Rattus norvegicus: one gene and its partners. The protein of the gene in region 4 purifies or fractionates together with the protein of the main gene of each other region. This does not show direct contact. Links are inferred from orthologs where the notes say so. Each region holds a gene or a part of one and is shown on either strand. Other genes may lie near its edges.

Region 1 (4,060 bases), on a different chromosome or scaffold from region 4:
TGTCGATATTGGCATACAAACTGAAGGCCTTTGAAGCTTGTCTCTTCCCTGCCTGCCACATCTGAAAGGAGATGGGTATTATGAAAAACTCCTGGCTCTAGACGGTTACCCGGCCTCCGCTTGATTTCTGTGTATGTAGGTCTAAGTGGAAAAAGTGTATCAACCTAGGACACACACAGGTCTTCCTTTCCATTGGCTTACCTGATCTGCTACCTGCCGGCTCAGTTGTCCCTTAAAGCCTTTCATGCCGAGAAACTCCCCGTCCTCTTCTTCTGCAGCAGCTGCATCAGCATCTACCTCTTCCTCACGCAGGCGCTGATGTAGTTCACCCATGTCCTCGAAGCTGGAGCCTGAGGTATCGTCCATGTTCTCCATATCAATCACAGCCGAGCCCCCACCCTGTGAAGACAATGGCTCCTAGTGTGAGGGGCCCTTCCGTTGCATCCTTTGGTTCTCCCCTCATCTGACAGTTTGAGGCTTTGCTCTTCCACTGACGAGGATATGGCTTGGAACTGCTACCCACTGTGTTATACATAACCTTTCACTGCTGGCAACTCTTGGTGGCGACACTTGTAGTTCGCCCTCCCCCCCCCGCCCCTCCCAAAGCTCCAAAGAGTTGCAAAGAAGCCCATCTGCCTTTCCCAACTCTCAAACAAGCCTATTTTAGGAAGTGCCGAAATTCTATCCTGTAGTCCCATACTATGCCTGATCCAGGCAGATCCCCCAACCCGTCTGCAAAGCCCCGGGCAGGTACAGAGACTCGAACCTTAATCTAGCCCTTTCACGCCAGCACAAGCTCTACACACTTTCGCGTGGAAGACTGAAAGAGGACAGGCAGTGTGGCAATAGAGCCGACTTCCACGCCGCGAGAAAAAATAGCAACCACACTCGGCCGCCAGCCCGGGGAGTTGCTGGCAGCAAGAGCTCTCAATACCTGGATGTTTTCTTCGAAGCCTCCCCATTCCGGGCCAGCACCATTTCGGACGCCGCTGGCCGGCGCCGCCTGAGTCGCCATGTCCCTCGAGGCTTCCCGTCGCTGAAGCTAGCGCTCGTGGGAATAGTGTGAGACCTGGGCCCGAGGGAAGGAAAGGTTCAGAGGAGCGACTAGGCGAGGTAGGACCAGCCGGAACGCAAAAGTGAGAAACCCGGATGTTTGGCCCCAATTGACGTCCGGAAGTGAAGGACGTGGACAGAGGCGGGACAAGATATCGCGACAGTGAAGATTGCCGGAGACGGAACGTTGCCGCGGAGACGGAGGCGGGCCGCTAGCACGCACGCGCTAACTTGGAGCCTCCTCTCACGGCTGATGGTGGAAGATGGCGGCTGCTCAGGCGGTGGAGGAAATGCGGACTCGCGTGGTTCTGGGAGAGTTTGGGGTTCGCAATGTAAGAGATCGGACCGCGGGAGTGATGGGGGAGGCACGGGAGAGAGGAGGCCTGGTGTATGGCCTGGCCTCACTGCCCTTTCTGTTGGCTCTAGGTCCACACCACTGACTTTCCCGGTAACTACTCCGGTTATGATGATGCCTGGGACCAGGACCGGTTCGAGAAGGTGGGTAGGGCTGGAAGTGTCCAGACGGTTTGAGGGGCCAGACCTCACAGGTTGGGTTGGGGATCTCTGTTTTCATGAAACATGAAAACATGTTTCCCGATCCATGGACGGGCCGTCAGACACCGCTCCTGTTTGTGGAATAAATTGTTTGCTCTCGGTGGGGTAATGGGCCACAAACAAGTTATTTCAGTATAATAAAATAGCGATGAAGATGGCTGGGATGGGGTAGGAATCATTGATGCACTTAATCCAGCCAATTGAAGGGACGTAGTTAGGGAGTGACATTTGAATTAAGCTTTGAACTATGAATAAAAGTTGAGCGGTGAAGGCCTAATTCGAGTTTCATTATAAACGCTTGTATAAGGTTTGCTCTTAGTCAGCTGCAGCAGCTCATTTTTGTCAGAATGTAAGTCCACCAGCATGAGCAGTAGATAAGATTGGAATGCATTTTAGACTCTGTAGGTGATAGATTTTTATTTTTATGTCTTTTTGAAACAGGGTTCCATGGCTGCCCTGGCACCCCCTCTGTAGACCAGGCCGGACTCAAACTCAGATTGGTCCACCTGCCTCTGCCTCCCGTGCACAGGATTAAAGGCATGAGCCACCATGCCCCGTTAGAATTTTTCAGTAGACTGATAAAATTTTGCAGTCTTGATAGCTGGGAAGGAATGAATCTGGCGAATCTGCCAGCTAGTGTATGGAGGCTGAAATTGGGGGCATGGATGAACTGCAGATGGTGGTAATGGAGTGAGAGTAGTAACTAGCTGATGCAGACCATTGCTGTGGTGAGGGCAGTGTGAGAAAGGACCTTGTGGCTTGAGGAACGGATAACCTTTTCTTGGTATGTATGTTTGCCTGCATGTGTATTTGTGCACCACTGCTCCCAGCAGTGTGAGGAGGTCCCACTGGGTGCTGGGAACCAAATCCATTCTTCTGCAAGAGCAGTAAGTGCTCTTAACTGCCGAGTGGTTTCTCCAGCCACACTGGGGAACTGTGTTGCTGGCTGTGTCATTTGCTAAGCGGGAGGACCAGGGCGATGGCACAGTTGTTTGCGAAGTCTACCGGTCGAGTGGTGATGCTTGAAGTCAGACCAAGGTCAGGAGCTGCTATGCCCTTGCTTGAGTCAGCAGCATGAAGGTCACCCAGGGGATTTAGAACCTGGGAGAAAGTAACGTTTACTGGGTGGAAGAGAAAATTTAGATAAGGAAAAGTAGATATTAAAAAATGCAAGTATCAAATGGTTTAAATAGGTGGGAAGTTCTGCTTTTTGTACAGTAGCTTTGCTGGGTGGTCTGTGGACTATCTGAGAAGCCAGGCATAGTGGCACACACCTTTAATCCCAGCACTCAAGAAGCAGAGGCAGGGGGTTGGGGATTTAGCTCAGTGGTAGAGCACTTGCCTAGCAAGCGCAAGGCCCTGGGTTCGGTCCCCAGCTCCGAAAAAAAAGAAAAAAGAAGAAAGAAAAAAAGAAGCAGAGGCAGGTGGATCTTTGAGTTTGAGGCCAGCCTAGTCTACAGAGTGAGTTCTAGGACAGCCAGGGCTACAGAAAAACCCTGTCTTGAAAAACATAAACAAGGAACAGTACACTGCCCTCCCAGTGGGACTAGAGACAAAATGTCTACTGATGATCTTGGGGGATAGTGCCAGGGTAGACTGGGTTCACACAAGAGGAACAGGTTTCCCACCCACTGGGCTTTCTCTACCCCTCTAGAACTTCCGTGTGGACGTGGTGCATATGGACGAGAGCACACTGGAGTTCGACATGGTGGGGATTGATGCTGCCATTGCCAATGCCTTCCGGAGGATTCTGTTAGCTGAGGTATTAGAAGTCGCGGGCTGGAGTGTGGAAACTGTCACCCCATCTGTAGACTACCGGGCGGGTGGGGCGGTTTACACCTATAATATGAACACTTCAGAGGGCAGTCCGAACTACACAGTAAACCTTGTATCAAATCTGAAGGGCAAAACTAAGAAGGGCTGCCCCTCGTTTTTCCAGGTAGGGGATGGGTGGAGGTCAGGTAGATCATTTTGCTTCCTTGGGCAGGTGCCAACAATGGCTGTGGAAAAGGTTTTGGTGTATAACAACACATCCATCGTCCAGGATGAGATCCTTGCTCACCGCCTGGGGCTTATCCCCATTCTTGCTGATCCACGTCTCTTTGAATATCGGAACCCAGGTAAGGCTGAGAGGTTGAGATTATGAGTTAGGCAGAACTGTCCTGGAATCTGTCATGGGCTCAGATCCCAGGCCTAATTAACTGTGATCTTAGTTGGCTCTTGTACATGGGCCTTCGCCTGTGAGAACGTTCTCTTGCCCCTGCCTTTAATCCCTCACTCTTAGCACAGTGCCAGCAGCGCTCAGAGGCTCTTTCCACCTTTACATGGTTTCTAGGGATTGAAGTTGGGTCTGTAGGTTTAAGCAAGCATGCACCCTCTGAGGCTTCTTGTCAGCCCGTTACTAGAGCTAGTAGGGCCAGGCAGGCATGGTGGTGTACATCTTTACTCCCAA
Region 2 (4,232 bases), on a different chromosome or scaffold from region 4:
CCAGGTAGTTGAAGACATTCACTGGCTATCAACCAGGTTGAGCTCACTGCGCAGGTGCCTAGGTGGAGGCCATTTGAACACGGGTACCAGCCGATTTCCCTGCTTGCATTCCTTCCTCTCTGAATCATTTTGTGGTGGGGCTCTCCAAGGCAGTAGCCTGTCTTCTATGAGTCTATCTCTGAAGCCTTGGCTTTGAACGACCCTCTTTCCACACACCTCAAACACTCCTGGCTTTGGGACGCCTCTTTGTCCATGTTAGTCATTCTCCTGTCTATGCTAGAGTCTAAACAGAGTGTGTCATAGTGATTTATGCCCTGCACTGGTCCCCTTACTGGGTTCTCAGCTAGCATGGAGAGTGTGTATTATTCATGTCTGAATCACCAGTGCCTGAGGGGGGAGGCAATCATTGTAAGATGGTTGACCGACTAACACCATGAACACCATTGTGGGACACACACACACACACACACACACACACACACACACACACACTGGTTTTTATGAGACAGGGTTCTCATGTAGCCTCAGGTGGCCTCAAACTCCCCATGTAGCTGAAGAGGATTATGAAAAACTGACTTTCTCGCCTCCATCTCCAAAGTGGAGGGATTACAGGTATGTGTCATCATACCAGACACCACCCCCCACTTACCAAAAAACAAAACAAAACAAAACTCAAACACAATCACCCGCAAACCATTTTAACATGGCTGAGCAGTGGGGGCTCACACCTTTAATCTCAGCACTGGGAGGCAGAGGCAGGCAGATCTCTGAGTTTGAAAGGCTAAGTAATGAAAATCTGTCTTCCCCATCCCAAATTTTAACGGTTGTATGGGGAAAAGGATCTCTACGTAGTCTAAATTGACTAGAACTCACCATGTTGCCCAGACTGTCTTCAAACTCAAGGCATTCCCCCTGCCTCAGCCTCCTAAGTGCTTAAACTATCTCTCCAGCTCTGTCTCTGTCTTTTGAGACTGGGTTTCTCTGCCTCCCTCTTTCCCCCTTGCTGGAATTAGAGGATTGTGCGACCATACCTGGCTTCTGTTTTTTGTTTTTTTAAACACAAGGTCTCAAACAGCTTCGGATGGCTTGAAAGTAATTAGGTAGGTCAGGCTGGCCAGAAACTCATGACAATTCTCCTGTCTCGGCCTCTCTAGTGCTAGGATTACAGGTGTGGGGCTGCATGCCTGGTTTAGGGATTTTTAACGTGGCCAAGGCAAACCCTAACAAAACCTACACTATGAAAACACCCGACAAGCTGAAATTAGACCAAGGTAGGAACACCTAGAATTAAGGAGGATCCGGGCGAGCCCTGCAGCGATCCCGGCATGCACCACGGCGGTCCCAGAGTGCCTTGCGGCACACACACAGAAACGGTGAGCAGAGCAGAGCTGGCGTAACGTGAGGTTCTTCTCTTCCAGCGGTTGTGTACGACGAGGCAGAGGCAACATGGAAGTGTAAGCGACACGTCCAGGGGAAAGCAGAATCAGCTGGGGACTGTGAGGCGGCTGGCGGCTAGACCTCCGGACCCGCGAGCAGGGCGGGTGGGCGGGGTGCACGGACCGGAAGTGCATGGAGGTGGGGCGGCAGGGGAGGGACCCTGCTGGTGTTGGAACCCGCTCTCCTCCGGTATCTTTTGGGGAGGGGAATGTTGGAAGGATAGAGAGGGGTTTTATTTTTTCTCTTTCTTCTGGTTCTGGGAATGAAACCCAAGACCTTGCACGTGCTCTGGAAGTAGTGTGACCCTGAGATGCGTGCCAGTCACAATCATCTTGTGATGTGGGCTCTGCATGTGCTCGGGGAAACACTCTACCACTGAGTCAGATCCCCAGCCATCAGCACCGCCATCATTGTTTTGTAATGGTGGAAATGGTACCCAGGACTTTGCTAGGCAAAGCCTTTGCCACTGACCTGCATCGCCATCCGTTATCGCCGTGTTCTTTTGGAAATTGGTACCCAGGGTCGTGAAAGTACTGGCTGTGCTAGTTTTCTTTCAGTTACTGTGACAAACACCATGACCAAAAGTAATCTAGGGGTAGAAAGGGTTTATTACATCTTAAACTTCCAGGACACAGTTCATTATGGAGGGAAGTCAGGGCAAGAACTCAGACAGGAAACTGAAGCTTCAGACCAGTTCAAGAACTCTCTCTGGTTTACTCTCTGTGTTTTCTAACTTCTTTATGAAGCAGTCCATGGATGGTGGCACCTGCCGCGGTCTGTATAACCCCTCATCCCTTTTATTTTTTATTTCTATTTATTTGGGGGGGGGTGTTGGGGCTTGCGTAGTCGTGGCTTTCCTGGAACTAGCTCTGTCGATCAGGCTATCCTTCAACTCCCAGAGATAGGCCTGCCTCTCCCTCCCAAGTGCTGGGATTAAAGGCCTGTGCCACCATCAGTTGGCCAGGCGGTACCCTCCTGCATCATTTAATAATCGGGACAGTCCCTCGTGGACACGCCCATAGAACAACTTGGTAAAAGACAGTTTATCATTGAGGCTTCTTTAGAGGATTCTAGGCTGTTTCAAGTTGACAGTTAAGATTAACCAGGAAAGCAGGCAAGGTTTTCTCCCCCTCCCCCCAGACAAAGTTTCACTGTAGAGCACTGGCTGTCCTGGAACAAGCTCTTTAGACCAGGCTGGCCTTGAACTCAGATATCCACCTGCCTCTGTCCTCGGAGGCATGGACTAAAGGCATGTAATACTCCTACCTGGCAACTAGGCAAATTCCTGAGATATTTCTCCAGCTGTTGTTGGGATAGCCTCTTCTTCTTTCTCTTCCTCCTCATTTGGTGGTGTTGGGAACGGTACCCACGGTCTTTTTTTTTTTCCTTTAAAGATTTATTTATTTATGGGGTTGGGGATTTAGCTCAGTGGTAGAGCGCTTGCTAGACAAGAAAAGAAAAAAAAAGATATATTTATTTATTATATACAAATACACTGTAGCTGTCTTCAGACACACCAGAAGAGGGCATCAGATCTCATTACAGATGGTTGTGAGCCCCCATGTGGTAGCTGGGAACTGAACTCATGACCTCTGGAAGAACAGTCAGTGGTTTTTTGTTTTTTGTGTCCTGTCCCCCCCCCCCCCCCAGCTGAGAACCGAACCCAGGGCCTTGCGCTTGCTAGGCAAGCGCTCTACCACTGAGCTAAATCCCCAAGCCATAGTCAGTGCTCTTAACCACTAAGCCATCTCTCCAGCTCCAGTACCCACGGTCTTGCACATGCTTAACACACACCTTCCACAACATTATTATCACTATTATTATTATTACTACTATTATTATTAGGTGGTGCTAGGGATAGAACTTAGGGATGCTAGACAGGTACTTTACCACTAAGCCACACACACCCCATTATCATATCGTGGTGTTTGGGATGGAAGGGACCTGAGCATGCTAGACAGTCACTCTACCAACAACAAAGCCACCCTAACAGTTTATTTTTCCATAAAGAAAATATTTCTTGATGGGCAAATGAAGTTTTTGAATATACTCCACCTGCGGACTTTATATGTACACAGTTGACATACCTAAATTGTGTTGTTATTCATGTTTCTTTGTCTTCTGCTCAATTGTTATATAGATACTATAGTTGGTCAGACTTTTTTTTTTTGGAGACAGAGTCATAAGTAGCCCAGGCTGGCTTTGAACTTGGCTATGTAGCTGAGGATGATGGAATTCTGATGCCCTGTCTTCACCTCAAGCCACATTAGATTAGCCATTCGGTCTCTGAGATGGGGGTCTCTGACTGGGTAGCTCAGGCTCAGTCTGGTTAAGCTTTCTCCATCTCTGGGTAGCTGGTGTCAGAAACCGTGGAAAGTGTCAGCTCTCTAACACGCCCCGGCTCTCCTACATCTTGCTGCTTGGTGTCCTTTTCTCCTTCCTCCTCCTCCTTTGCTGTCTAAATGTTGAACGCCTTAGTGCTTCATCTTGGGACACTTCCTTTGCACTTCCTTTGCATGTATTCTCAGTCACTACTCATTTTTATGATGGCGGTTCCTCAAAAACATTTCTGACCTTTTTTTGTCAGGTTGCTTACATTAAAATGTATCTTGTTTTCCTTTCCAGTCATTAGACAGTCTGTTACCTACTTTTTCCTTTTTTCCTACGGTAGGGTCTCATGTTATCCAGGGTTAGCCTTGAACTTGATATGTACTCAGGAGGACCTTAAGCTTTTCTCATCCTCCTGCCTCTACTCTCCCAGTGCTGTTCCTATTGGTATATGATACCTTGCCCTG
Region 3 (4,077 bases), about 11 Mb from region 4:
TGCCTCCAGAGTGGTGCTAGAATCAAATGCCTCTCTCTCTCTCTCTCTCTCTCTCTCTCTCTCTATATATATATATATATATATATATATATATATATATATATATATATATATATATATATATATACATATACACTGTCACTGTCTTTGGACACACCAGAAGAGGGCATCGGATCTCTTTACAGATGGTTGTGAGCCACCATGTGGTTGCTGGGAATTGAACTCAGGACCTCTGGAAGAGCAGTCAGTGCTCTTAACCACTTAGCCATCTCTCCAGCCCCTCAAACTCTCTCATTCCCCATGCCCACATCCCCTTACTTTGCACCCACAGCTCTTAGCCAACTGTAGCAACCACAGCCCCTCAGCCCTGGTCTACAGGGCATATGGTGGGTTCAGTGATCGGTGCCCTTGGCCAAAACTTGTCTTTCCAAGTCAGGATCAGCCTAAGTTTCCATACCAGAACCGGTCATGATCTGTAGACCTCAGTCAGACTCACATCAGGACAGAATGGAGGGTACAGTCCGCATCTAGATTTCCAACGACAGCCCTTGCCAGTTGCGATGGTACAAGCTTTCAATCCCAGCACTGCGGAGGCAGAGGCAGGGCATGCTCTGCGCTGTTGAGACCTGGTTTACATTCTAACTTTCAAGGCAGCACGAGTAGCCCACCACATACACACTTGTTTGTCGATTGTCTATATGCCTATATGTCCATTTTTTCCTTCTAGTTTTTAGGATTTTAATCATGTGTGTGGGTCTGCATGTGGGTTTAGACATACCCAGAGGCCAGAGGCCCCAGATCCTCTGGAGCTGGAGTTACAGATGGCTGGGGGCGCTGGAATCCGATTTCTCATACAAAGTGCAAATATATTAATAAAAACTTATATAAAAAGGGAAACTGAGGCACATGAACCTGGCTTTTCATCATCGGGCTCCCCCTTTCTTTCTTTCCTTTTCTTTTTCGAGACAGGATGTCCCTGGCTATAGACCAGGCTCGCCTCAAACTCATCGACTGCTTGCCTCGGTCCGGGATTAAAGGCGTGAACTACAGCCAAGTTTTCTTTTGCAAACGCCTAGTGGGAAAATACTAAGGCAGGTCAAGTATCGCGCGATCTTCCCGTGTGCGATCTCGCGCAGACACCGCCGCGGTAAATGCTGGGATTGCCCACCGCTCAACCTATCCTGGAAAGTTGGTGTATTCCGGCGATCACCTAAACCAAACCTGGGCGGGGCCTTCTCCGCATTCCGCGCAGGCGCACTGTGCTGGGGGCGTGCACTTTATGCTGTCCCGCGCAGGCTCAGTCCTGGTAGGTCTACGAGCGCGCGTGCAGAGTTGTTTGTGAAGTGCGACAACATGGACGACGAGGAGGAAACGTATCGGCTGTGGAAGATCCGCAAGACTATCATGCAGGCGAGTTGCATGGGGAGGTTTTGAGCGAGCGCTGAGCTGTGGACTAACTGCGGTTGTCTGTCCGCTCAGCCCAGCCTCCAATGGGGGCTAATCCTCTTGCTTCAGCCTCCCAGGTAATAGGATGCATCCCCTCTTAAAGTGTGGAGTCCACCCACCTCAGTTGTTGGCAATCCTCCTGCTTCAGCCTCCTCCCCCTGCCCCAGAGGAAAAGTCCTAGCTGGACTCTCTGCTTCGGAAACGGGATACATGGCTGCTACACGGTCACACCTGGTTTACGGGGTGTTGGGAACGAATGGTTTCCTCAGTACTAGGGAGCCTCACCATCGACACCCACATGGTAGTTCACAACCATCTGTAACCCCAGTTCCAGGGCATCTGTGGCCCTTTTCTGGTCTCTTGGACACACGTAGGATTAAAAGAAGCTATTTAAAAAAATAAAACAAGCCGGCATGACGGCGCACGCCTTTAATCCCAGCACTCTGGAGTTAGAAAGAGGCGGATCTCTGAGTTAGAGGTCAGCCTGGTCTACATGGTAATTTCCCGGATAGACAGGGTCACATTCACGCAGAGAAACCCTGTCTGGAAAGAAAAGGGAAAAAAGGAAGACATTTTGGTTGTTCGAGTTGAGTAGATAAGACCCCAGTGGAGAAAGAGGTATTAATAGTTTTAATTTATGCTGTGTTGGGTGGAGCCCAGGACCTGATCTAGGCCTCCTCAGGCCTGTTCTCAGCCCTCATTAGGAGGGTCCAAGACAGGAAGGTTGCCAGGTCATTGACCCCAGCCTTCTCTGGTGAGGCTGGAGGGAAGGGAGGAGGCTTGGCTGGGGCCTCTGTAGTCTCAGCCTATGCAGAATTTGGGTACTGCGGGTCAGTCAGTGTTAGTCCCCAGCTGTCCTCTAGCTGAGTACTCTTCTCTCTCTACAGCTGTGTCATGACCGAGGCTACCTGGTGACCCAGGATGAGCTGGACCAGACACTTGAAGAGTTCAAGGCACAGTTTGGGGACAAGCCCAGCGAAGGACGGCCGAGGCGCACAGACCTCACCGTGCTGGTGGCCCACAACGATGATCCCACAGACCAGATGTTTGTCTTCTTCCCAGGTGAGGGTCCTTGGGCTGGCAGTAGTGGCATCCTCTGGGGGCCTCCAGTTCTGGTGGCAGCTGCCTGCTTTGTCCCTGTCTTCCCCTGGGAAGCTTCCATTTCACCGGTGTCCTTTTTGCCCCTGAGTCCGCAGACCAGTGCTCAGTCCCCCTGCTCCTGTTGCTGTAGTCTACAGTTGCTGTCTGAGGCCCAGGCGGCTCTCGGAGGTTTGTGGTGCTCTGCAGCTCCTCCAGTCTCCGCAGGCAGCTTGTTTCCTTTAATACCTGATGTTGATGCCTGGGGCCTGGGGTTTTAGTGTGAGAATTGGGGGTGCAGGGATGGGCATGGTAGCATGTGTTTATAAATCCAGGAGGCGGAGGCAGGCAGCCGAGGCCAGCCTGGGCTACACAGTGACTTCTAGGACAGCCAGAACTATGTAAGGCAGTGGCTGTCAGCCTTCCCGACAATGGGACTCTCCATGTTGTGGTGACCTACAGCCATAAAATTTTCATTGCTGCTTCCTAACTAATTTTGCCACTGTTATCATAATGTAAAAAGGTGTGTAGAGTCTGGATAAGGTCCGATAATTTGCAGACTAGGTGACTAGGTGACCTGGACCTGCTCTTGTGCTCTGCGTCCTAATGCTCCAGTAAACCCCACTCTGCCTGAGGAGAGAAGGCTTAGCCCCATGTTAGACACAGGGTCCACCTCCTGGTCAGACAGTTTCTCCTTGAGGCTGCCCAAGCTGACAATACCATATTCCACAAATCTCAGAGCTGCTGAGAATTTCACCCCCTGGATCAGGAGGGGCGGACAGTGCAGCTTTCTTCCGCCATGGCTGCCCCGTGATAGCCCCACCGCGGCTGGCTTTGCGTTCTGGTCTTCCTTTGTGAGTGGAGAAGCTAAGTCCACAGGCAGCAGGACATCAGGGACTCTAGTGGTGGGTGTGAGGGTCACACTTGTGTGCCTGCAGAGGAGCCCAAGGTGGGCATCAAGACCATCAAGGTGTACTGCCAGCGCATGCAGGAGGAGAACATCACACGGGCGCTGATCGTGGTGCAGCAGGGCATGACACCCTCCGCCAAGCAGTCCCTGGTAGACATGGCCCCTAAGTACGTGCTAGAACAGTTTCTACAGCAGGAGCTGCTCATCAATATCACAGAACATGAGGTGCGTGTGTCCCAGGGAAGGTCTGGGTGGCATGGCGTGGTCTGGACAGGATACGGGAGGGCCCTGGATCTTCCCAGTCTCAGGCCGTGCCATTCATAAGCTGGGCAGGGTCGTTCCCCAGTTTTAGTGCAGTGGCCTTGAGCATCCAACTTGGTGATATTAGTAGCCTGGTTGTGTCCTCTGTCCCAGCCCTGTGGCAGTACCCATTAGCCTGTTGAGTCTGTCGGTTTCTGATGGCCGCGGGTGGGTCTCTGTTTCCACAGCTAGTCCCTGAGCACGTGGTCATGACCAAGGAGGAGGTGACGGAACTGCTGGCGCGATAGTATCCTTTTTTTTTTTTTTTTTTTTTTACGTGTGAGGCTATATGCCCATATGCACAAAGTAGCCTCTTTTTTTTTTTTTTTTTTAAGATTTATTTT
Region 4 (4,001 bases):
CCCAAACTGAAACGATCAGTAAACAACTTTGGGCATCTTTTACCCCTTCTTCCCATGGGATTTTTCTTCCCGCTGAACGTGCCTGAACTCATTTCAAATTTCAGTGGCAAACCCCCTTGTCTTCTACCAAACATACACAAAGATGTGCATGTTTACTATTCATAGAGATTTTAAGTGTATTCTAAAAATTTTTTAAAAACAATTAGTGCAATGATGAAACTTTAAAACTCTATTAGTAATCCTTAGGCTTTGTTTCCATCCTTGAATTCCACCACAAGCCATTATTAATACATTATCTTTTCTTTGGAGACAGGGTTTCATGTAGCTCAGGATAGCCTCAAACTTGCTAGGTAGCCAAAAATGCCCTTGACTTTCTGGATTCCCTACTACCTCTAGCTTCTAAAAGGTAGGTTATAGGTGTGTGCTACCATGGGGGGTTTATGTGCAACCCCTGGTTTATTTGTTGTAGTGGGGAACAAACCTGTGCACAGTACAAACTCCCTCCCGCTGACATTTTCTCCTACTGTTATCCTATATAGAAATATCTGACATAGGATTTAGATGTATCTTTTTCTCCCAAACCGTTAATTAACTCTTCTAATATAATTTATTGGGTTTTTCCTACCCATTTAATTTTGCGAGGGTAATTTACTCCAAGATCACACATCTGGGAATTTAAGTAGCACTTTTTTGTTATACTTTATTGACACTAGAACATTTCTTCCCAACCTATTACGGTCATCCTATGAGATTTGATTGTTGTCCATTACACGCAGGTACTGTTGTACTGCACAACATACGTACAGTTTAAATTGAGTTAAATCTCTGCTTTAGAGGTTCACGTTGTGGTCAATGTGTATTACCGAGTCATTTTTTGGATTAGTTATACAGTTAGAACTACTATATTTTTGCCGTATCTAATCATTCTGGGGATACTGGATATAAACCTGTCTGTTGGGAGTCTAGGCGAGACCTCGGAAGTACACCAGTGGGTGCAGTTTTCCACATCCGGCTCGGTCACTTCCGGGTTCCTCCGCAGGTTAGGCCCGGACCAGGCGGAACCTTTTGAAGCGCCTCCCGTAAACAAGCGCAGCGGGGACACTGGAGGACTACGCACACCACTCTCCGCGTGCTGTTTGAATGGAGCCGCACGGGCGGATGTGAACATTCTGCCTTCTTCCTTTACCGTGGGTGGAATGGACGTGCTAGCTGAGGAGTTCGGGAGCCTGACTCCGGAGGAGCTGGCTGCGCCGATCCCGACTGTGGAGGTAAGCGCCGCGAGCGCACGCAGCGGAAGAGGCTGGAGGCGACTGAGGAGGGGTTGCCGGGAGAGTTTTTTGAGAGGACGAGGGCGGGACACTAGACTTCTGCGCATGCCCAGGACTTCTGCACATGCTCAGAGCTCCCGGTGTGTGAGCCTTTACAAGGTCTGAATCTAGCATGTTGGTAGCCGCATGAACAGAGGGTCGCTTAGTAGCGTCTTCCGTTTAGAAGCTCAGCCAGTGGCTCTCGGATGAAGCATTTCTAGTTCAAGTATGCTCTGGCAAGAATTGGCCCTTGTGTGTTCTCTGAGGAACAAGTATCTTTTTGCCGATCTCACCTGAAAGGACACCGAGATCCTGAGAGCTTAGGCAATGTTCTTGAGGTCACATAGCTGGCTTTGGTGGTTAAAGTGAATGTGAATCTCACGCTGGTCATCATTTTCGTTTAAATCCAGAGTTTCTTTGGACTGCAGGCTTAGTTTAAGTATCATGAATATCCCCTCAGCCCCCATTTTTGACCTTGTATTTTCTGAGGGGCCCCTATAGCTTTCATCAGATTCTTAAGCGATAATTGCTCCACGCTGAACTGTCTGATGAAGTGCAGTGGCTGACATGATTTTGTTTCCTGAGAAGGTATATAAATTCTTTCTGGACCTTGACATCTTTGGCACAGAATATATCTAGGACTGAAAATGGTCGAGGAAGAAATTCAGGCAGAGGGACAGACTGTACACGACCCTCAGCCACACTGTCGGATGTTTCAGAGGAGGTGCTGGGGGAGGAGGGCAGTAAAGAGAAGTTCCGGATTCTGAAATTAACTCTCAGAAGGTGTTAAGACTTTCTCCCTGGGAATAGTAAAACACCATTGAAGGGTTTAAATGGGAACGACCGTCGTGAATGATAAAAACTTCCTTAGGGCCCTGAGGTGGCTCAGGGATTGAGGACTACTAGTTGCTCTAACAGAGCACCCGGGTTTGATTCCTTCTGTCACAGTTCAACAGGGTGTGGGGAACCATGACTAATCCCAACATTTGGTCTGTGGAAGTAGGAGAATCACAACCTCACTGTCTCAGAGGGAGTTTGAAGCATGAGTTCCAAGAGTCTCTTATTGAAAATATACAGTATTTCTCTTTGTGTTTGGCTTATTTCACAGTGTTTCCCCACTCCCACTCAACAGGACCTGCAGTCCACACAGCAAAGGATAGTTAAGCATGTAGCCCAGTACAAAACTATAGACTTACTCAAAACATGAGTGCTATTTCATTTTCCTTTTAATATTCTTTGGTATGACTCTCAAGTGAGAATTTTGCAGATCACAGTGTCGTATTACAGTGTTCATGTAAGGAACCCTCCTCACATTCGCCCTGAATTTCAGCATCAGTTGGGACTCCATGTCTTCCAAATGGGACACTACAGTGCTTTCTGATCCTTGTCTTTGTGTTCCTCACCCCTAACTCAGCATTTGAGCCACAGTGCACTGGCTCATTGGAACCTGCTGTCACCACATTTACTACCTTAAGCTTCCTCAGTGTACCTACCCTCCTCTCCTCACCATGTCTAATCCGTAGAAGGCATAGACATCCTCAGTGTTTTCAACCCTGCCAGCTCCTTCAACCCTGTTGCTTGTGCACAATGGCTCCCTTTATTTGGAATGCCTCCCTCATTCCCTCACCATGCTCAGGCATAGCAGTCTATCTAGCATCTATACTGATCCACCTCACTATGGCTTTGGAAGCCAGGAGACACGTCTGTCTGCTTGTTTAAGTAGTAAGACGAATTAGTATTTGCTCAACTTTTCAATGAATAATAACCAGCCCCAAAGCTTGAGTAACTTTTCCCGCCATGGTATAATATGAAGGAAAATATATTAGAAATTATTGATTCAAATGAAACAGAGCTCCGGCCTAGAAAGTGTAGAGAATGCAGGTTGGGAGTTTGAATAGTAAATAGGCTAAAAGGAAATGACATTTGTTTACTGCTCTAGTAACTACTGTTCAGATTACTGATCATTGGCTCAACAATGAGATTCTAGTTTACTTCACAAGAATAAATGAGAATAAGCTTTATGAACAAGTACTGTGTCAATTTTCCGAGTCTCCAGTGTCATTCTAGGACCTTCTTTGGTGAAGGCAGGACCTGAGGACCCCACTTCAGAGCATAAGACGTGGGGATGGGGCTAGCGATGTTAGAAACACGAAGGTCTATGGCAGACACTGTGGTAGGAGGGAGTCAGTGCCTTCCTAAGGAAGTCAGGACTGATGTACAACATTTAATCTACAAGTTAAAGCTGAAACGAGAAGAAAACCCACCAAAGGCAGGATGAGCATACAAGAGGAAAAAACAACAATAATATAACCAAAACCAAACAGAGCGAGTACAGTAAGCAATGGTGGGAAAGAGGTGGAGAAGTAAGCACTGGCCAGACTTGGTAAACTACCACTGTTGATGACTTTAGATTTTATCCTATGTCTCAGTGTCCTGTGAAGAAGAGACACTGTGACCAAGGCAACTCTTATAATAGAAAGCTTTTAATTGGGGGCTCACCAGCAGTCTCAGGGGTTAGTCCATTATCATTGTATCAGGGATGGTATGCATGGTGCTGGAGAAGTAGCTGAGAGCTTTATAGCCTGATCTTTATGCAGGCAGGGGGTGGGGGAAGAGAGAGACAGAGACACACAGACACAGACACAGGGCCAGGCATGGGCTTTTGAAACTTCAGAGCCCATCAACAGTGACATA

The links.
Region 1: the proteins of Polr3b (region 4) and Polr1c purify together in Homo sapiens (affinity purification with mass spectrometry; 7 studies listed by BioGRID and IntAct, counting the BioPlex papers as one, with this or other methods). This does not show direct contact. The link is inferred for Rattus norvegicus from reciprocal best matches to the Homo sapiens genes POLR3B and POLR1C.
Region 2: the proteins of Polr3b (region 4) and Crcp purify together in Homo sapiens (affinity purification with mass spectrometry; 5 studies listed by BioGRID and IntAct, with this or other methods). This does not show direct contact. The link is inferred for Rattus norvegicus from reciprocal best matches to the Homo sapiens genes POLR3B and CRCP.
Region 3: the proteins of Polr3b (region 4) and Polr2e purify together in Homo sapiens (affinity purification with mass spectrometry; 7 studies listed by BioGRID and IntAct, counting the BioPlex papers as one, with this or other methods). This does not show direct contact. The link is inferred for Rattus norvegicus from reciprocal best matches to the Homo sapiens genes POLR3B and POLR2E.

What each region holds. Positions count from the first base shown.
Region 1 is NC_086027.1:22,232,058-22,236,117, forward strand, and holds the start of Polr1c (DNA-directed RNA polymerases I and III subunit RPAC1), read left to right. Parts: upstream 1-1,260; 5' UTR 1,261-1,316; coding exon 1,317-1,385; intron 1,386-1,479; coding exon 1,480-1,551; intron 1,552-3,262; coding exon 3,263-3,370; intron 3,371-3,595; coding exon 3,596-3,728; intron 3,729-4,060. Other genes in the region: protein YIPF3, read right to left, coding at 1-61, 202-399, 935-1,015. UniProt on the Homo sapiens protein: DNA-dependent RNA polymerase catalyzes the transcription of DNA into RNA using the four ribonucleoside triphosphates as substrates.
Region 2 is NC_086030.1:32,292,968-32,297,199, reverse strand, and holds the start of Crcp (DNA-directed RNA polymerase III subunit RPC9), read left to right. Parts: upstream 1-1,432; 5' UTR 1,433-1,446; coding exon 1,447-1,454; intron 1,455-4,232. UniProt on the Homo sapiens protein: DNA-dependent RNA polymerase catalyzes the transcription of DNA into RNA using the four ribonucleoside triphosphates as substrates.
Region 3 is NC_086025.1:10,316,081-10,320,157, forward strand, and holds the start of Polr2e (DNA-directed RNA polymerases I, II, and III subunit RPABC1), read left to right. Parts: upstream 1-1,277; 5' UTR 1,278-1,353; coding exon 1,354-1,410; exon of another isoform or gene 1,411-1,490; coding exon of another isoform or gene 1,491-1,523; intron 1,524-2,333; coding exon 2,334-2,508; intron 2,509-3,461; coding exon 3,462-3,658; intron 3,659-3,921; coding exon 3,922-3,980; intron 3,981-4,077. UniProt on the Homo sapiens protein: DNA-dependent RNA polymerase catalyzes the transcription of DNA into RNA using the four ribonucleoside triphosphates as substrates.
Region 4 is NC_086025.1:21,027,329-21,031,329, reverse strand, and holds the start of Polr3b (DNA-directed RNA polymerase III subunit RPC2), read left to right. Parts: upstream 1-1,196; coding exon 1,197-1,268; intron 1,269-4,001. UniProt on the Homo sapiens protein: Catalytic core component of RNA polymerase III (Pol III), a DNA-dependent RNA polymerase which synthesizes small non-coding RNAs using the four ribonucleoside triphosphates as substrates.